5 linked regions of the Cricetulus griseus genome follow. The protein of the gene in region 1 purifies or fractionates together with the protein of each later gene. This does not show direct contact. Links are inferred from orthologs where the notes say so. Each region holds a gene or a part of one and is shown in the gene's direction. Other genes may lie near its edges.

Region 1 (3,954 bases):
TTACTAGAGCTCTCCTAAAGTCTCCTAAACTACACAGAGCACTGTCTGTGAAGCTGAGATTTTGGATTGGGATATATTCAGAGACCCTGTTTGAGAACAGAAAGAATATATAGAGTGAAAAAAAAAAAAAGAGACTGGAGGCTGGAGAAATAAATGACTCAGCCATAGGACCACTGGGTTCTCTTCCAGAGGATCCAGGTTCAATTCCCTGCACCCACATGGCAGCTTACAACTGTTTGTAACTCCAGTTCCAGGGGATCTGACACCCTCACACAGACATTCATGCAGGCAAAACACCAATGCACATTAAATAAAAATAAAATAAACAAATAAAAAGGCAAACCAGGCCAACAACTCTGTGGGATTAAAGCAAAGTTGATGGGGAAATGTTGTTTAAGGAAGTGCTGGGTACCCCAGTTTCTCTCAGCCATCTTAGCAGGTACAACTTTCATTTTGTTTTGGCGGGTGCTGATGGTGCAGTTTGAACCAAAAAGGAAGAAAGTGGGTATGTGATTAGAAGAAAAATTCAGTGGACCGATGGAGGGAGAACCTGAAGGAAGAAACCAACAATAACAAGTGGCCCAAACAGCCCAAATGATCCTGAAGAAAATAATTTTCGTGGGTCCCATCTGGGATGTTGAGTCAGCAGTAAGAGTTTAGGAGAAAGTCCTTCCTGGGAAGTCTTTGGAATGTCGGTTTATTATTTATTGGGGGGGGGGGCTTGGAGCATTAAGGAATTCACCCTACTGGGGCTGGGGCTCAAGATTGTTAAAATACCTTCCTACGATTGGGGTAGTTCTACCATGAAAACTGTACTACCTTCATAGGCTGCTCCAGTTAACTAACTTTTAGTTCATCCAGCTGTAAAAGGGAGGCAATAATCTCTCTCGCGATTTTTATAAAAACATTTTTTAAAAAACAGTAAATTACTTGTTGCCGCAAAAATTCCCTCGCTGCCAGCTATGACTGCGATTAACTCCAGTGTCTACTAGAAGATTCCAGAGAGCCTGAGCCACAAGAGAACCTTGCAGGCTGGGAAGACAACACTTGGAAAATTCTTTCTCCCACAGAAACCGAACCTTCGCGGACCACACTACCCAGAAGACCTTGTGGCTCGGGGCCCTCTCGCGTGCATTCTGGGATTGGTAGTTTTTGGAGCCCGTTCGTCAGCTCGCGCGGTGCGGGCCCAGGAACTCGCCTTCCCGGCTACCCGCGCGGCCAGGGTGCTCCTCCGCGATCAGGAAACGCGAAAGATGGCGACTGCTCGGCGACGTTGAGGCCGCGTTAGGCGGTTCAGACGCGGGGTGGTGAGTGTTGGGCGGCGGAGGTGATTCCTATGAGTTTGGAAAGTGGGCGAGAGCGGGGAGATAGCCCTGGCTTCCGCTTCTTGGTCCAGACGGGGAAGAACGCCTCAGGGAAGGGGCACGAGCCCGGGAAGCTCTGGCGGTCAGGAGCGAAGGGGCGCGGGCCCCAGGAGCAGTGTTGGCTGTCTGGGGCACAGGCCACCTCCAGGACGATGTTATGAGCCAAGATTTTGGCCCATGGACATCGCGCTTGCTATACCTCAGTCTGACTTTATTCCTGATCCTTTACTTCAACCAGACTGGACCTCTGATGTACTTCCAGAAACCAGTCTGTGCTTTCCCGCTACGGCGTCGCCAGTATTACTGCTTTTGCCGGAAATTAGTTCTAACCCTCACCCTCATCTTCAAATGCTCAGGATACACTTCTTCCGTGGATCCTTCCATATCCTCTCTTACGAATGGAAAGAAACTGCTACTTTGGATTCTCGCAATACTTATCTGATTAGTCTTTACCTTGGCGTGTCTCATGCCTTCTGCTTCCTGTGGGCAGAATTTCATTTTGTAACTACCACAGGGCCTAGGACCGAGTCTTACATATAGTAGCAACAGTTAAATGAAAATAATTCGCCTTTGCCCTACAGCAGAACTGGGAAGCACAGCCAGGGTCTTCTATAATCATTGCCTATATTTGCATTTTTGGTTTTGCAGACAGGGTCTCTTGTAGGTCAAGCTGGCCTTGAACTCAGTATGCAGCTTAGTCTGTCCTGACTTTGAACTTAGTCCTACCTTCACCTTCCTAATGCTAAGATTTCAGTCGTAGACTACTTAGCATTTCTCCTAGTTTATATATTTATATACATATATATGTATATATATATATTGTAGTTAGATATCAATAGACAGAGAATAAAAGCAATGTTTTCAGGCAGGTGGTGATGGTGCACACGTTTAATTCCAGCAGGGAGGTAGAGGCAGGTGGATCTCTCTGAGGCCAGTCTGGTCTATAGAATGAGTTCCAGGACAGCCAGCGCTGCACAGAGAAACCCTGTCTGGAAAAACCACACACACACACACACACACACACACACACACACACACACACACACACACACACACTTTCTTGTAAGTCACCACAGGAATTTTTTTTTTTCTCTCTCGGGACAGGGTTTCTCTGTGTAGCTTTGGAGCCTATCCTGGCACTCGCTCTGAAGACTAGGCTGGCCTCGAACTCACAGAGATCTGCCTGCCTCTGCCTCTGCCTCCCGAGTGCTGGGATTAAAGGCGAGCGCCACCAACACCCGGCACTTAGAGCTCTTTTAATGGGGGGGGGGGAAAAAAGCTCTTTTAATGTTCTCAGTGAGATTAAGTTGAAATTCAGGTGCTTTTGCCCTGGACCCTAACAGTTTATTTTGCTTTTATTGTCAGTTTCAGTTCTCTTCCAGACCCACTCCATCCAAGTTTGTATTCTTCCCCTTTCCTGCCATTCAAACAGCTTTTGTGAAGGCCACTAGTCATCTCCTCCCCTCCCAAATCTTCAATGGTTCTGTGTTGACTATTCTCTCTTTGAAATGTGTTTTGCTTCTGCATTGTTATAGTTTACACCCCTACCCCCATCCCTGCTGCTGTTTTTTTCTAGTCTTTTCTTTTGTCTCTTCTAGGCACCCTTCAGTGTTAGTGTGCTAGAGCTGCACTGTGGATCTCCTCTTCTGCCTGCTTAGGTGATGTTTAAGACACAATGACTTAACAGCTGTCTCTGTACTCATATTTTTGTCTTCCCGTGTCTCTTTAGAGTTCCAGATTTCTCTTTGGTTGCTTTCTTAATATCCCACAAGCTGGCAAAAATGGCACTTTTGTTCTGTTCCTTCCCTAGTCTTCTCTGGTTGCTTCACTGATGGTAACAAAAACCAGTAGTTTCCTCAAACTGTATGTACATTTAGGAACTGTTTTCCGCTATCTCATCCCTTCCCCAAACTTTGACAGTAACATGTTTATTTTATCATCAAATAGAGAATGCAAAAGAAGTTTTGTTTTTGTAAATTGTGTATGTGTGTGTATGAGTGGTGAATACATAGTATATGTGTTGTGGGAGGGACAGAGGAGGACACTGGGTGTCCTGCTCCATCATCTCATTCCCCCGGGACAGGTCTCCCCTTGAACTTGGGATGGCCTCCTGCTTCCACCTTCCTTATAGCCCTGGAGTTACAGGTATATTTAACCATGTCTAGCTTTAACATGGGCACTGGGAATTTAGCATGTACAGAAAACACTCCTACCTGCTGAGCTATCTCCCCAGCCCCAGGAGCTGTCTTTGTGTCTCCTCTGTAGTTTTTCCCTTTATCAGTAAGTCTTGTTAGCTCTACTGCCAAAGTATGCCTGTCTCTTTTTGCATCCCTAGAACAAGCCACTGTCATCTCCTGCTTAGATATAGTTGCCCCTTGTGATTATCTGAGGAGAATTGGTTCTAGGACCCTAGGTGAATAACAAAGTCAGCATATGCTCACGTATCTTCCATAAAATGTCACAATATTTGCATATACACTACATAATCCCCCTGCATACTTTAAAAGATTTTCTAGATTAATTATAAATGACAAATGGCTTTGTAAATTGTTGTTTTGCATTATTTGGGGAATGGTAATTTTAAAAATCT
Region 2 (4,269 bases), on another chromosome or scaffold:
GTAGTAGTGGGGGCCCTAATCACACCTGTGACCTTTTACTTACGCTGTCCAGCTAAAGGCTAGATCAATCTCTCCCAAATACCCGTGTATCCTAACTTATTCATCCCCTTTTAAATTTCATGAATGTTTTGCCCGAATGTATATGTCTGTGCACCACGCATGTACCTGGTGCGGAAATCGGATCCCCCAGCCCTGGGGTTTATGGTCTGTGAGCTGTCATGTGGGTGAACCCGTGTCCTCTGCAAAAATATGAAAACTTCTTTTAATCACCAAGCTATATCTTCATCCCCACTTGCTCGTTCTTTACTGGAGCATTCTCTTTTCTCAGACCATTTTCCAGAGACGCTAGCTGACATTTGCCTGCGGGTCACTTTGAACTCCAGGCAGTACTATGCCTCTCTGTTGAACTCCTGAATCAGACTCTGTTCCTAAGGGTTCAGTGTTCATAGACTCAATCAATCCTGTTCCTCCCTAAAAGCTTGTTTGAGGAGCCAAGAATGGTTGTTTGCTTCAGTACTCCACTGAAAAGCACTGGACGTAGAAGTCTGGTTGCCTGGTCCAGCATAGCAATTTGCAGTTTTTCCTGTCTGCCCTAGAGTCTGATGCTCTCCCCAGGTTGAGACTGCTTTATTGAAACAGAGGGGCCCTGATCTTTCCACTGGATGAAAGGGGAGCACATGTAGAGGGATTTGGACACACACATACATATATACTTAATAGCTACCGGGAAGGTACAGCTATTTTTGTGATTTAACCGGAGGCAGGGTTGTTTTCCCTAGTATATTGTTTCTGCAGGTAGAGCCCATCATCCCTGTGGCTAAGCAATCCTTTATACCTTTGGGCTATTGCCCAGTACAGCCTGACTCATGACCTGAATCTATTTATTACCCAACAGGTGGGATTGGCATTGTCTTGCGTAGAGCTGCACACAGGCAGAAAATATCTGTGTAGAGTTACTGTGGTGCGCGTCCACTAAAGCCCCTGGGCACACAATCACTCCCAAGCATGTAACTCCGGCCCATGCACTTATTCTCTGAAGGCCCACGGGGGTGGGACGGAGCAGGAGGGGGGGGTGTCGCAGTTCTGAACGCTGAGCGCACAGAGCAGTAGTTGCGGAGTGCACGCAGTATCGACGGGCGGTGGCCACACAGTACAGCTAGGCAAGTCTTGGTCATGTAGGCTGAATCCGTCTTCCTAAGGCTAGGCAGATTCGAGGCCATGCCAGCACCGGGACGCTCCTCAACAAGCCTACTGGGCTCAGGCTGTGCATCGTCCCTGGCACAGCAACAGAACGCATGACCCTTACATCTGCCTGCGCGGCCCGCTGCGTTAATGGTTAGTGGCTTCCGCGCACGCGTGCTCAGCTTCCCACAGCAAACCCACCCAGCAGCCCCGACCGGAAACGCTTTGCAAACTCACATCTTTGACTTCCGTCAGAGGCTCTGTGTGGGCGGAGTTTTGCGCGACCTCACTCTCTACTTCCGGGGCGCCGGCGACGCAGTAGCCGCCTCTCTTCCAGCTGCGACACCGCGAGTATTCTTCGGCCGCCTACCTGCTCCTCTATCTTTCTCTGCCTCGGCCAAAAACACCGCCATGAACAAGAAGAAGAAGCCGTTCCTGGGCATGCCCGCGCCGCTTGGCTATGTACCCGGGCTGGGCCGGGGGTAAGGCAGTGGGCGGAACTTATACCAGGAAGGGTGGCTAGTGCTCTGGAACACTACTTGCTCCAGGCCTAGTTGAGAATGATACTTGTGACCACTAAGTAGAGAGAGACCTCATCTCAAAACAAACCAACAAAACAAAACAAAAAACAAAAAACAAGTGCCTGAGGGTCTGAGTGTGGTGGTGAAGGTCTCTAATCCCAGCATTGAGGCGGGGCGCGGTGGGGGTGGTTGGGGGGGAGACAAGCCTGATCGGCGTAGCGAATTCCAAGACATCCAGGTTTACTTAAAGAAATCTTGTCTCAAAAACAAGAATAACGTTCACCGCCATATATTCTGAGAGGCACTAGGTAATTTGACACAATGCTTGACAGACATGGTGGCCTTTTTTGTTAGAATAAGCCCGACTGCCACCCTGAGATGTGAATCTGACCTCAGGGATTACGCAGGCGTGTGAGCCTCATTGTTTTGGTGTCTGAAGTAATATGCACAAGCAAGTCGGCTGTAAGGAGCAGTTGAGTCTGATGTGTATAGTAGGAGTGTGCTACTCCTTTATTCCCTTAAGCATCTTTTCCCTCTAGGGTGTGTGGCCATAGGTCACCTTTGGACAGCAATGGCCTATGCCTGCCAACCATAAGGTGTTGGGTAAATGAATAGTATTTTTCCTACTTATTTATGCATTAGATGAGACATAAGTCTCTCCTGTTAATAGTATTTAGAATTGACTTGAATTCACTAGAATTCAAGGTTTGGTGTTTGTGTATATAAGCACACACAGGAGAACAGAAGTTTTAAGAGTGTAGCATTTTAGTCAGATTTACAAAGAGGATTTGAAGTGTCAGATTGGGAAAAGCAAAGAAAAGTGGAATTTATGCCAGGTAGTTCCAGCACTAGGGATCCAGAAGCCAACTTGGTCTACAGATCAAGTTTTAAGACAGAAACTGTCTCAAAAAGCGAACAAAAAGAGGAATTTGGTGTAGACACATAAAAAGGCAAGTAGTGGGCTGTTGAGGTGACTCAGTAGGTAAGGCTCTGTCAAGCCTGAGTTTGATCCCCAGAATCCACGTGATAGAAGGGGAGAATAGATTATTGTCTTCTGACCTCTATACATGTACCAGGTCACACACACTAAATAAATAAAAAAACAGGCAGTTTTAAAAGGCAGCTGGAGGTGTAGCCAACTGTACCATGCCCAGGCCTGGGTTTGATTCCAGCACCTTGCCCAACCTCTTTAAAAAAGACAATGGGAATAGAGAGATGGCTCAGCAGTTAGGAGCACTGACTGTTTTTGTGGAGAACTTGAGTTTCGTAAACGGAGGTGGAGCTTTCATGTCCCGGCTGCACAGTTCCAAATAATCACACAGAAAGTTTTATTAATTACAACTATAATTATATAGTTGTATAATGATATAATTTGACCTATATATAGTTCAGGCTTATTACTAACTAGCGCTTACATTTAAATTAACATGTTTCTATTACTCTGTGTTGCCATGTAGCCCTGTCTTCTTTCTTTCTTTCTTTCTTTCTTTCTTTCTTTCTTTCTTTCTTTCTTTCTGTTTTGTTTTTTGTTTTTCCGAGATAGGGTTTCTCTGTGGCTTTGGAGCCTGTCCTTGAACTATCTCTTATAGACCAGGCTGGTCTCGAACTCACAGAGATCCACCTGCCTCTGCCTCCCGAGTGCTGGGACTAAAGGCATGCACCACCAACACCCGGCTATTTCTTTATTTTTTATTAATTTATTTTTTACATTCCAACCCCAGTTCCCCCTCCTTTTCTCTTCCCACTACCCCACTACCCTACTACCCCTCCCCCCCCACCTCTCATCTGCTCCTCAGAGAGGGTAAGGCCTCCCCTAGGAAGTATACTAAGTCTGTCTCATCTCCTTGAGGCAGGCACCTCTCTACCCCCACACCCCTGTGCCTAGGCTGGGCAAGATATCTCTCCATATAGAATGGGTAGCTGCTGGAGATGGCTCAATATTTAGGAGCACTGGCTGCTCTTCCCAGAGGACTTGGGTTCGATTCCCAGTACCCACGAGAGATAATATTTAAGCCGGGCGGTGGTGGTCCATGCCTTTAATCCCAGGACTCTGGAGGCAGAGGCAGGTGGATCTCTGTGAGTTTGAGACCAGCCTGGTCTACAAAAGCAAGTTCCAGGACAGCCTCCAAAGCCACAGAGAAATCCTGTCTTGAAAAACCGAAAAAAAGAAAAAAAAGGAAAAAAAAAAAAAAAAAGAATAGGTAGCCCTGGCTTTTACTGGTTTGCTGTTGTTTCTTGGGCAGCTGGCTCATGTCTCCCTGGACTCTGCCCCTCCTCTGTTTGATTGTTCTACCTAACCCTATTCTGCCAGGCTAGTGGTCAGCTTTTATTATTAACCAATGGGAACAATATATATTTACAGTGTATAGAAGCATTCTATAGTATATCTCCCTATCTGGCTAATCAAAAAGGAAGGTTTTAACTTTAACTTAGTAAAATTGCATATAAAAGAAAAAGTTCAGTCCCAGTGAGGCCAGAAAAGAAAGGAATCCAGAATGGTGGGATTTGCTGCAAAAAGAATGGAGCTGCCAGGGAGCCTCTGGTAGTGGATTAGTATTTTTCCCTG
Region 3 (4,018 bases), on another chromosome or scaffold:
ACTTAGCTACTTCCCACATATTCTGGGAACCCTGGCTGCACCCCTTCCTCGGCAAACACATGCTGTCTCTGCTACTGAGTGGGACACCTAGAAATGCTAGTGAACAGGTCCACCTCTGAAGACTCAGTAGTAGAGCAGAGCCGTAAAGGAGCAGGAAAACCATACCAAAACACGCCGAGGTGTGCTACACAGGAAACCCACAGAGGAGCAACTAGTAGCAGAAGGGAGTGTGTGAATCCTTAACTTTAAAGCTCATCTCCTCAAGACCAAAACAAAACAACCAAACCAAACAAGCAATCAACCAAATAAAAAAGCCCAGGAAGAGAGAAAAGGCTGGGAAAGCAAGGCATTGTGGCTTGTGCCTGTAATCCCGGACTGAGGCCACATAGTTAACGGGACAGAGGAAGGAAAGAGAGAGGGGGGGGGAGGGAGGGAGGGAAGAAGGAAGGGAGGAAGGAAGGCAGGCAGGCAAAAGAAAAACGGATCTGCCCAATTTGCACTTGAGCCTGGCTTGGGCGAGCATGCCTGAAATCCCGGCCACTCGCAGCACACGGGAGGCTGAACCAGAGGGTTCGAGACCTGCCAGGGCTACGTAACAAGCACTAGGCCAACCAGACCTATATAGACCCTATCTTAAAAAGAAAATTAGAAACAAAAACAGCACTCAATTTCACGGGGTTCACAGGCACAAATTCATAGTGTTCCGTAGCAGTCCAGAGCTCAGGTTAAAAAGACCCAATCTACCAATCCAGGGAAAGTGGGCGACGGTAGCATTCGCTGGCAACAGTGGTTTATTGGGGTTGCAAGTCTGGGGCTTTGCAGCTGGTTTCTTCAAGAAGAAAACATGCGGTATCTTCCAACCCCGGACGGATCCCCGGCCCCGGGGAGCCTACGAGAAGGACAATCACTGGAGGAGGGGACGCCCACGAAGAGGCTTGAGGCACAGAGCGCCACGAGGCTCTCGGAGTGGAAAGGTCAGGGAAAGAGCTCCCAGCTCCGCAGACGGTGGCTTTTAGCACGATTCCAAAGCTGTTACAGTTCTAACCCGGGAGAGCCAATGCCGACCCCGTAGCCTCTACAGGTGCACATGCGCAGAGCCAGTCCCCGGGAGCCGGGAATGCGCAGTCTCAACCCGTCCCTCCCATGAGCCTCTGGAGGTTCCCAGGCCGGCCCCGGAAGCAGCCGCTCTTAGTTTCCGGCAACAGCGCAGCGGCGGCCGCACGACCCGGAAGTATTCCCATTTTGCGTCGTCTGGGCTCGGGTGGCGGCCCGGCTCCAGACGGACGCACTAGTCATGGGGTCGTCAAAGAAGCACCGCGGGGAGAAGGAGGCGGCGGGGACGACGGCGGCGGCCGGTACCGGGGGCGCCACCGAGCAGCCGCCGCGGCATCGAGAGCACAAGAAACACAAACATCGCAGCAGCGGCGGCGGCAGCAGCGGCGGCGAACGACGGAAGCGGAGCCGCGAGCGTGGGGGCGAGCGCGGGAGCGGGAGGCGCGGGGCCGAAGCCGAGGCCCGCGGCGGCGCGCACGGTCGCGAACGAAGTCAAGCGGAGCCCTCGGAGCGGCGCGTGAAGCGAGAGAAACGCGATGACGGCTACGAGGCCGGTGAGGGCGGGGCGGGGGCGGGGCAGGGGCCTGGGGTGCGCGGGACGGAGGGTGCAGGGTGACCGCCAGGGCCTGTGCCTCTCGGGCTGAAGACTTGCTCCGGCTGTTGGGGACTAAAGACTGACTCCCCATGTTAAGCTTCGGAAGGACCGGGGTCTTGCGTTTCCCCTTCCCGTCTGGCACTTGACAGTAAATGCGGTGGGTGGGCGAAAGGAGGAGGTGCGAGCATGCACAGACAGAGGCAAGAGAAACCTGACAGTAGGTGGAATCGTCATGAAGCAGTAAGATACGCTTGGGTCTGAACACCAAGGACCCTGTGCTGTAAGCTCTGTTGAGAAATTTGGGCTTTGTGATGAAGACGGTAGGGAGTCGAGGATTTGAGTAGGGAAGTGGGTTGATTTACTTCATATGTTAAGATCACACTGGATTGAGCTGGGCATTGGTGGCGCACGCCTTTAATGCCAGCACTCGGGAGGCAGAGGCAGGCAGATCTCTGTGAGTTCGAGGCCAGCCTGGTCTCCAGAGTGACTGCCAGGATAGGCTCCAAAGCTACACAGAGAAACCCTGTCTCGAAAAACAAAAAAAAAAAAAAAAAAAAAAAAGGATCTCTGGGTTGAGAGCTTGTCAAAAATAGGACTACAGACCCTGAGATTAGGAGGGAGGTCAACCCAACCAGGTGAGGACTAACAGTGAGTATGCATGTTTCTCCATGCAGTAGGGTGGAGAGACTGGAAAGATTGAATAGGTGTTTAGGAAGTGCAATGAACAAAATTTAGTGCGTGGGCTAAGGGGATGGGAGGGATGAGGAACAGGGAATGCCTCCTGGAGTTTTGACCTTACCCGCCTGGTGAATGGTTTTCATCTGTTGAAGTTGGTGTTTAGAAGACTAGCAGATTTGAGGCAAGGGAGAATGACCCAGTTTGGGAGAGCTTTGGTCAGTGTGTATGGGAAAACCTACAGTTTAAGTGGGATAGAGTGATTTGAGGCTAGTGTGTATTCAGGAATCCAAAGTGCCCTAGAGTGTGTGGAGTGAGAACTAGGATCAGAAATAGAACTTAGTAAATGCCAATAGCTCAATTGTGGGCAGAGAAACATACTTAAAAAATAAAGAGTAGCCAAATGGCAAGAACACTACAGTTGGGTCATAGGATCTGTACAAAGAGATGATTGTTGAAAAGACAGAGTGGTTAAGAGCATCACACACCACAGGGCATTATGCAGAACCAGAACTTGTAAACAAAGGGTTGTTTTCATTTTATGCATTTGAGTGTTTTACCTCCATATGTGAATATGCACTTGGTGCATTCCTAGTGCCTGTGGAGGTTCAGAGGAGGACATTGGATCCCCTGAAAATGAGTTAGGTGGTTGTGAGATGCCATATAGATTATGGGAACCAAACCTGGGTCCTCTGTAAGAACAGCAAGTGCTCTTATCCACTGAGACATCTCCCCAGCCCCTAAATTGAAACTTTTTTTTTTTTTTTAATAATCTGCTAATTGGAAAAAGGGAGACTTGAGACTTGAGAGTTCATATAGAAAATGGGGTCCAGAGCCTAGGTGGAGGAGGAAGGGTTTAAAGAGCAGTGAGTAGTGTGTGACAGGGGACTTGGGCATCCTGGTGGCATCTTCCTCTGTATAGTGTTTATTGAAGTTCTCTCCTGTTTGTGGGGTGGATAGATCAGGTCCAGAGTGCTTCCTTTCCTATGTCCATAGCATCTGGCATGGAACACACACTAGTAAGTATTCCATACACTGCTGTGGGCAGAAAGTGCCAGAAATGACAAGCAGTGCTGTGCCGTTCTAGGCAGAGTTTTAATTCTGGTCAGTAATTGAGCAGGGCTTCATGGAGGAGATGATACTTGCTCTTTTGATAGAACTTTATGAGAACAAGAGCAGAAGGGACTGTGGAGGCTGAAGGTAGAGTGTGGAGATTTGGAGTGGCACAGTGAGGGATGCAGAAAAAAGATAAGGGCCTGGGTAGCAGCTGCAGGGAACCCTGGGGGAAGAAGGCTGCTGTTTTCTGGTGTCATCTACCCAGGTGCTGGTGGGGGCCCTTGTCTTCGACCTTGCAACTGAAGACCATGATGTTGCTTCTTGGTCCCATGTTCATGGGTTCCTTAAGCCGTGCTCCTTATTGTTCTAGCTGCCAGCTCCAAAACTAGCTCTGGAGATGCCTCGTCACTTAGCATCGAGGAGACCAAGTGAGTAGCCCTTATGCTGTTTTGATTTTCCTCTGAGACTGGTTGCACCTGGGGCTGTTACCTATAGAAACTTTTTCAATCTAAATGAAGCCAGTTAGAATTGGAATGGCCAGATGAGTCATACTGCCAACCATAGGAGCTACGTGGAAGAAACTGAGACCCAAGAGGAAGGATAGTCTTCCCCAGTCAGGAAGCCTGTTCTGGAAGCCTG
Region 4 (3,698 bases), on another chromosome or scaffold:
CAGGCATGCTAACCGGACTGTCAGACCTCTTCCTGTTCCAGTGGTGTCAGAGACGGGTACCGCTCTGGACTTTGCCAGGCACAGGGTGAGCAGGTCCAAGAGAGGCTGTGGAATAAAATGGGTGGGAAGGATAGGGACCCTGGGAGCACTCCATCTGAGTACTCCCTCGTTTCTACCTCCCTGTACTGGGAGTTCAGGCTGACCTTATTCCAGCCTTGACCTCATTTCCACTCATCTGTTGGACATGCCAAGTCACACTGAGACGGGTAGGAGAGGTCACGCAGCAGGAAAATTCGACACAGAATGCTGGGGATAAGCTACAAAAAACTCCCACTTCATCCCACTTTTGAAAGACAATACAGTAAAAGTTAGACTACTGCCCCATCCCAAGTATCTAGGTGCTTAGAAATGTTCTAAAGAGCTGGGTGGCTCTGGCCTGTCTCAAGGGATAATAGTCAAGATGGCAGCCCACTCAGCTCAGCCCTATGAACTGAGGATTAGGCTAAGCAACCTCTTGGGACACCAGCAACTATCACCACTACTGCCTTTCCCTTTGACTCCTGTCTGCACCCCTCCCCCAGGCTACTGGCATATTTAATTGGCCTCTAGAGGAGAGAAAGCGTGGCTAAGATTTAGGTCTCAGCTCCTAGCAACCTCCCTGTAAGCTGATTTGTCAGTGAACCCCAAGTTTGTCCTAGGGCGTCCTAATCTCTACTATCGTCCGTCCGCCGCCCCCCTCCCGCCCCTTGCAACCTGTTCCCTGCTTGGGTTGGCTGCTGGTCTGAAGGACTTTATACTCTTATGTTGTGGGCCCCTGGCCAAGGCTGTTGAGAAAACTGCAGCATGGCTATCAGGGCTTCAAGAACATAGGGAAGGAAGTGAGCGTGCAGCAGCCCAGTGGATTCTCAGACTCTGGTTCCCAGAGATGAAAGAGGACAGCCCCGGGCCTAGAGGGGAGTTGTGTGTGGCCTTAAATAGTGGGGTCGGTGTCCAAGCACGGCTAGGCAGAGCCTAGAGGAGAGGCCTCGAATCTCTGCAGCCCCAAACAACTTATCCAACATCCAGAGCCCACCACGTCTCTAGATGCCAAGAGCCAACTAGGACTTAAGTCCCCGCCCCCTTTAGGAAGCCAACCGAGTACAAGATCAGATCAGCACCACTTCTGACCAGGAAACTTGTTGACGCCCGCACTGCGTGGTGACGCACTTCCTTCCAGTGACGAACCCTGCTCAGACGGCTTCCGACAGGCGGCGCTGGAGGCCTCAACCCTTTGCGATTAGCAGTTGGCCCTATGTACAATGGGAATCGAGGCTCTTGGCTCCGCCTCTTCCTCTTTCGTCATTTCCGGGTAGATTTCCGTGTCCGCTCCAGTCTTACGGGATGACGTATACGTAAAGGTTACACCTCCCGGCAGGCATTACGCATTGGCCCATTGCCTTCTGGGAGTTGTAGTTCCTTGGCCGCTAAAGTTGCAGCATTCAGACAGCCGGAGACTCGGTTTCCCAGAAAGCCGAGCGAGAGTAGGCGGGGGCCACGGCCCGTACCTCGAGAAACCGGCGGGACGCTACGGTAAAGGCAGCTGGCTGTTGTAGCGTGAAGGGACGGTGGAGCGGTGAGCGCTGGCCTCCTTAGGACCGTGCGACCAGGCCAGTCCCCTGCCAGCTCTCCCTCCGGAGCCGGGTGGTGCCTCCGGTGGCGGTGTGTACCCGGAGAGGCTGCGCTCTGTGAGAGCCGGTGATGAGACGAGCTGATGGTCGAGAGCCTCTGTCTCCAGCGTCTCCTAGCGCGCACCCTTTATATGTCCGCACTGTTCTGATCTCATGGTTTGACTCTCTGCTTAACCCTATCTAGACTGCAGCTCCACATCAGTGCGTGCGAGGACACACTATTCGCCACCCAGCTTCGCGAGGCCTCCGCCCGCCTGCGTGACCAGCCAGCGCCCGATTGCGAGCAGAGGCGCCTGGCACATAGTGGAGGTGAAAGTGGGGGAGCCTGGGAGAACGGGGGTGGGGGGGAGCTGCCCAAGTACACCCCTCACAGCAGAACCTGGGCTGCTTCGCTACAGGTCGGGTTCCATGGCGGAGGCGGAGACTGGCTTGGAGGCCGAGGAACCCACCGAAGATGACACCCTGCCTTCTGACACCGTCTCCCTCAGCGACTCGGACTCGGACCTCAGCTTACCTAGTGGTGCTGAGGTGCAAGTGTTGTCCCCGGAGAGGATTTCTGGGGAAGCCCAAGAAGACTCCGGCCCTGATGAGCCTCCCTCGCCCCCCACGGGCGTCCCCACCACCGCAGTTCAGCCGTTCCACCTCCGCGGCATGAGCTCCACCTTCTCCCAGCGCAGTCACAGCATCTTTGATTGTCTGGAGAGTGCAGTCCGGCAGGCACCGCCCTCTGCGCCCCAAACCAGTGTGACTGAAAATGGCAACTTCAAGCGACCTGTGGCTCCCCCAAGTCAGACTCCAGCAGGGAACCTGAGCAGGGTGCATGGGAGTACGGGCCCAACCAGGGTACCTCCTGTGCCCGATTATGTGTCACATCCTGAGCGTTGGACCAAGTACAGCCTGGAAGATGCGACTGAAGTCAGTGAGCAGAGCAATCGTGCTGCTGCCCTGGCCTTTCTGGGTTCTCGCAGCCTGGCATCCCCCACAGACTATGTACCTTCCTTCAACCAGGACCCCTCTAGCTGTGGGGAGGGGAGAGTGGTCTTTACCAAACCAATTCGAGGCAGTGAGACTAGGGCTGAAAGGAAGAGGGTCCTAAAGAAGGGGGATGTGTCAAATGCTGTGAGTGAGGCATCTGTGGAGCTGGCCCATCTGGCAGGGCCTGAGCTTGAGGAGTGGAGTGGCCACCAGGGACTGCAAGAGGCAGTGATACCTTCAGGAGCTGACCATCCTGGGTCCTCATCAGATCCCACAGGGATGGAGGCTGTTGGTTTCCATGGCAGCAAGAAGCGGAGCAGAGAACACTTCCGGAACAGGGACAGTAACCCGGAGGGGCCAGGGTCTGAGAGGGGACCCTCAGTTTGACTGCAGTGCTATCTCTCCACCTCCTCACCTGCCCAGTCCAGGTGGGAAGCTGTGGGCTATTTGTAGAAGGGGTGTCTGGGAAGCAACTCTGACTAGGACTGTGGGAATTGTGGGACCTTATGCCCCCGTTTCTTGGGGTGAAAAATAAAGGTTTGGGATATTTCTTAAATTTTGTGGATTTTTCTGCTCCCTATTCAAGATGTGTCCAAACAGTCCTTGGCAACTAACTTCAGGACTCCATCCTACACCTGGCTTATCTTGCTCTCCCCACTCCAGTGGGGACTGCTGTAAAGATTTGCCATGATCCCTTGCATTTGCTACCAGTGAACCTACCCAGAGGGACTGGGTTCATAACCATGTCCAGCCTTGTACCCCTGATGGTAATGGACGAACATAATCTGTCCCCCAGAAACCAGCACAGCCTCCACACTAGGCCTGTGCAGACCAGTTTTAGGAAGAGGGTAGTTTGAGCCAGCGAAGGAGTTTGGGCAGGTGTCCACCCAAACTAAAGATAGAGCTGGTGTCCTGGGTGTATGTCTCCAGGATTTGTGACCTCTGTGTAGGACACTGCTGATGCTAATAGGCTGATGCTAGGTCATTTAGCTGAAGCTTAGCCCAGGAGGAAGAGAAGGATGCAGGGAAGACACATGAGTGAGTACTTCATGCCGT
Region 5 (4,250 bases), about 370 Mb from region 1:
TCAAAATGACCGTAATCCTCTCATTCATCCAGTCCATTACCAAATCCTATCTAATTTACTTCCCAGCTATCCCCAAGATACTGTAAAACTGTCTTCAGCTCCACCTTCAGCTAGGTTCTCACTGACATTGCTGATCAGAACTACAGTGCATGCTCCCAAAGTGGTCCATTTGCCTCCAATAAACCTCCCCTCCTCTCTCCAATCTCATAACACCATTAAGCCTGAAGGAGCAAGCCTTCTCCTCCTCCACATCCCACGCCCTGGAGGGGAGACAAAATTTTCATTGGTTTCCTATTAATTGTAAAGTTAAAGCTACAAATTCCTGCAAATCTTCATGACCCCCAGGTTATCTCGTACCATAACCCCCTTCAAGTGCTCTCTCAGCATACTGGCTCTTCGTGCCTCTTAGTCATCTTCCCAAATGATAGGGCACTACTGCACACGCTGTTCTGTGAAGAACGTTCTGCCTTCTTCCTCTCTTCCCCGAATTAGAACTGTCCGATCAAACGGCAACAGCTCAGGCATCTTTTCCTCTGAAAATCCTTCAAGCTCATTAGTTACTCACAGCATGAGGCATCGCTCTCTTCGCTAGTCTTCCAATCAACTGGTGAGATTAGTTTAAAATGTTTCCCACACACACCCCAAGAGACACTAAAGCCCTGAAGTTAGAGAACATGTTTCTTCAGTGTCCTCCAACGCTCTGCACGATAAACGCCACTTGGATCGCTTATGAGAAGGCCTGGTACACAAGCATGGACCTTAGATTTCTCAACAAAATTATGCTTTGGAGGAACCATCGGATACTTCCTCCATCACTGTCTGTCTGGGGGCATAAATTAAGCCCTTAAAAAAAGACGGTTGAACCAATGGTATAAACTAAGTCCGCCTCCTCAGCCAAACCCGGCACTGAAGCCGGGAGGCCGGGAGTCGGGCATCACGCTAGTACAGCGCTGGAAGCAAAAGCGGCGTTGTGCAGAGCAGCTAGCTGTCAAGGGACAGCGGCCTTAGGGTTCCAGTCCTGCGGTCAGAGATCCCAAAGCTCCGCTCTAGCCTGCCAAGGGACTACTCTTTCCAGAACGCTCCCCTACCCCCACGGCAGGACCGTCAGCCGAGAATGCTAGGCTCGGGCCCATCACCTAGTCGCAGATTAGAACAGCTACCGTCCTCGTTCCCCGCACACTTACTCCGCGCCAGCTCCTAGCCTGGCAGCCTCTTCATCGCCAAGAACGCCTAACCTGCTCCGCTCGTTCCCAACCCACAATGCACAGCGCGCCTAGGGGGGACGTCACTACACGCCCCAATCCCAGAGCTGAGCCCTCGTGGCGTCATCAAGAACGGACCAATCGCAAGAGCGCATTCAGAGGGCGTTGCAGAAGAGAATGTTGGGAGCCGATTGGTTGCTCCTCTCCGGAAGTTCTGGAGGAAGAACTCAGTTGGAGCCAATTGCGCGGCGGCTGCGGCCGGCGGCGCGGTCAGTGGCGGCGCCGAAGAGAGTGGCTACCGCCATGATCGAGCAGCCAAAACGCAAGGGCCCGGAGCTGCCACTGGTTCCTGTCAAGCGGCCGCGACATGAGTTGCTGTTGGGAGCCGCGGGGGCCGGCCCCGGAGCCGGACAGCCGCAGGCGACTCCGGGAGCTTTGCTGCAGGCGGTAAGTGGGGAGGCATCCCTTCTTCGGCCCTCCGCTCCTCTCCCAATAGACCTTCCCGGCGCTGCGGGAACGGAAAGACAGAGAAGCTGAAGTGAAAGCAGGCCTCTGTTTACATACGTGCCGTGTGTTCTGCGTCTGTTTCATACATGTGTCCCTGTCGGACGCCTGTTTCCAGCCTTTGAATCGCCCTGTGAAGTAGCAGTGAATCATTTAAAACCTTGGCCTCAAAAATCAGGATCCAAAGTTCCGCATCCTAAATCTTCAGGGATTCAGCATAAAATAAACATTCAGAAAAGTTTGTAGAGTGGACGAATGAATGAATGAATGAATGAATGAATGGGAAGGGAAGCAAGGGAAATGAATGATACAGGCTCTCTCTGCCATCTGGTACAATTTACTTTTCTCTTTTTCTGATTTTGCATTATTAACAGTAATTAATATCCGTTGGCTCGAGTGTTAGCTGTTTTGCATGAGAAATTTCCATTAATCTTGGTAACAGCCCGAAAGGAGCTGTTATTTTGCATATAGGGAAAGCAAACTTCTTTGAGTTAGAAGCTAAGCTCCTAATGGCATTTCTTGTAAAATAGTGATCATGCCCTCACTACTATGATATTAGTTTCAGATACGGAAATAAATGTGCCTCCTGTCCCAACTCTCAATTCTGCTGGTGTGGTCATTAAAATAAGTAAATAAAATTGGCAAGGGGTGTAGGGCTGTAGTTGCATCTTTTCAGAAGGCTGACAAGAAAATTTTGAGGGAAGGAGTTGGAGGCCAAGCCTGCAACTCTGGGTTGACAATCCTACTTGTCAAGTAAGAATAAGTGTACCACCAGTAATCCTGAAATGTCTTTGGTAGATTCCGGTGTACTAACTTACTTTTTAACACAGCAAGGTCGCTGACTCAAAAATAAGTAAATAAAAAGCTGGACACACACAAATTTACACTCAAGCTGCTGAACAGGAGGGTCAAGGGTTCCAAGCCAGTGTAGGCTATTATAGCAAAACTCTTTTGTTGAACGGAAGAGAACTGTTTACCTGAAATCCTTACCTCCTAGTCAAACTTTTATGTCATCTGGCATCATTGCAGGTGGGGCTTAATTAGTATTTCTGGTTTTGCCTTTGAATCAAGGATCAATTATTAGTCTGGTAGCCAGGAGAATCACCACAACATTAAATCACATGATTCTCTGCTGAAAATATTGTGTTGGCTATTTCATTCCAAATTAAAGAAAAATCAAATTCTGTGTAATAACCCCTTTTCTATGCTCATGTACCCGTTTTCTAGCATGTCATCCTTCTCAAATAACACCAGCCTGTGTGCTGTTAATTCTGTTGCTGTTGTTGCATATGCTGGAATATTACTCCAAATGCCCACATGTTTAACTACTGGTTCTTTCAAATCTTGGTTCAGATGCCTGTTTTCAGTGGGCTCTCCTGGCCACTGTATTTTAAGTTAAAGTACCCTGTACTCTGGTACTCATATTTTTTTCCATTGCATGCAACACTAGGTGTTCTGCTTGTTTTTTGTTTTGTTTCCTTTCCCATTCTCTCACTCACTTTCCACCAGAATGCACAGTTCATTGTTTTATTGAGTGCTGTTTCCCCAGTGCCTAGATATATTAGGTTTATTTTTATCCGTATGTCTGTATGTATGTGTGAGTACCCTCATAGGCCAGAAGAGATTGTTGAATCCTCTGAACCTAGGGCTACAGGCACTTGAAAGCTGCCTAGTGTGGTACTGGGAACTGAATTCGGGACCTCTGGAAGAGCAGTAAGTGCTCTCTAACTACTGGGCCATCTCTGTGGTACACATGTGTTATTTTCAATAATTACACTAGATAAATATGCTCATGGTACATTATTTACATTACTTTTCATAGTTAATACATGATAATAAATATAAGTTAGTACACTGGAACCTACCAAAGAGATTTCAGGACTATTTTTGGTAGTACACTTATTTGCCAAGTAACACTGTCAGCCCAGGGTTGGAAGACTTGCCAAACAGGCTTAGCGTCCAAGACCCTAATCAGAAACTGCTTTGCCAAACCAAGCATAGCAATTCACACTTGTATTATTACCAGCACTCAGGAGGACTGAAAATTTAAGACCAGCCTGAGCTACTTATCAAAGCGCTGCTCATACCCCTAAAATCTATTTTGCATAGTAAGTTGTACTATGCAGGGTTTTTCAAAGGCTAGGTGGGTGAACTAGTCTGAGAAATGTTGTTCCTGCACTCCCAGAGCTTCATTTATTTGGGGAAAAAGAAGCATGTCAGCAATGACATGAGGAAGGAAACTTGAGGCAGCACTAAACCTAATGGAATACTGGTGGGGAGATGGCTGCTACTTAAGTTTGACTGTTAAAGAAAGACTCTGGGGAGGAAATATTTAAAAGGAGCCCAATAGCAGGAGAGCTCTGTGGGAGACATTTTTCCTTGTTAAGATCCTGAGGTATAAGTGAAGTCAGCATGATTAAGCAGTCAGAAGTTGGCTGTGGAACAAAAGCAGAGTTGGGGAGGAGAGTGGTATGGTGAGCATATGCTGGAATGTCCAAAGGTTTATCCAGTGAAAGGCAGGAGTTCTGTGAGCAGAGGTGCCAT

What was found. Proteins that work in one complex are often made in the same cells at the same time.
Region 2: the proteins of Ddx23 (region 1) and pre-mRNA-processing factor 6 purify together in Homo sapiens (affinity purification with mass spectrometry; 3 studies listed by BioGRID and IntAct, counting the BioPlex papers as one, with this or other methods). This does not show direct contact. The link is inferred for Cricetulus griseus from reciprocal best matches to the Homo sapiens genes DDX23 and PRPF6.
Region 3: the proteins of Ddx23 (region 1) and Sart1 purify together in Homo sapiens (affinity purification with mass spectrometry; 3 studies listed by BioGRID and IntAct, counting the BioPlex papers as one, with this or other methods). This does not show direct contact. The link is inferred for Cricetulus griseus from reciprocal best matches to the Homo sapiens genes DDX23 and SART1.
Region 4: the proteins of Ddx23 (region 1) and Tssc4 purify together in Homo sapiens (affinity purification with mass spectrometry; 3 studies listed by BioGRID and IntAct, with this or other methods). This does not show direct contact. The link is inferred for Cricetulus griseus from reciprocal best matches to the Homo sapiens genes DDX23 and TSSC4.
Region 5: the proteins of Ddx23 (region 1) and Snrnp40 purify together in Homo sapiens (affinity purification with mass spectrometry; 3 studies listed by BioGRID and IntAct, counting the BioPlex papers as one, with this or other methods). This does not show direct contact. The link is inferred for Cricetulus griseus from reciprocal best matches to the Homo sapiens genes DDX23 and SNRNP40.

Annotation. Positions count from the first base shown.
Region 1 is NC_048595.1:395,146,137-395,150,090, reverse strand, and holds the start of Ddx23 (probable ATP-dependent RNA helicase DDX23), read left to right. Parts: upstream 1-1,154; 5' UTR 1,155-1,307; intron 1,308-3,954. UniProt on the Homo sapiens protein: Involved in pre-mRNA splicing and its phosphorylated form (by SRPK2) is required for spliceosomal B complex formation.
Region 2 is NC_048599.1:310,495-314,763, reverse strand, and holds the start of pre-mRNA-processing factor 6, read left to right. Parts: upstream 1-1,469; 5' UTR 1,470-1,593; coding exon 1,594-1,664; intron 1,665-4,269. UniProt on the Homo sapiens protein: Involved in pre-mRNA splicing as component of the U4/U6-U5 tri-snRNP complex, one of the building blocks of the spliceosome.
Region 3 is NC_048596.1:53,945,846-53,949,863, forward strand, and holds the start of Sart1 (U4/U6.U5 tri-snRNP-associated protein 1), read left to right. Parts: upstream 1-1,218; 5' UTR 1,219-1,294; coding exon 1,295-1,607; intron 1,608-3,749; coding exon 3,750-3,807; intron 3,808-4,018. UniProt on the Homo sapiens protein: Plays a role in mRNA splicing as a component of the U4/U6-U5 tri-snRNP, one of the building blocks of the spliceosome. May also bind to DNA.
Region 4 is NC_048596.1:58,316,386-58,320,083, reverse strand, and holds Tssc4 (protein TSSC4), read left to right. Parts: upstream 1-1,424; 5' UTR 1,425-1,569; exon of another isoform or gene 1,570-1,698; intron 1,699-1,851; 5' UTR 1,852-1,976; intron 1,977-2,065; 5' UTR 2,066-2,075; coding exon 2,076-3,029; 3' UTR 3,030-3,198; downstream 3,199-3,698. UniProt on the Homo sapiens protein: Protein associated with the U5 snRNP, during its maturation and its post-splicing recycling and which is required for spliceosomal tri-snRNP complex assembly in the nucleus.
Region 5 is NC_048595.1:22,689,899-22,694,148, reverse strand, and holds the start of Snrnp40 (U5 small nuclear ribonucleoprotein 40 kDa protein), read left to right. Parts: upstream 1-1,450; 5' UTR 1,451-1,505; coding exon 1,506-1,649; intron 1,650-4,250. UniProt on the Homo sapiens protein: Required for pre-mRNA splicing as component of the activated spliceosome. Component of the U5 small nuclear ribonucleoprotein (snRNP) complex and the U4/U6-U5 tri-snRNP complex, building blocks of the spliceosome.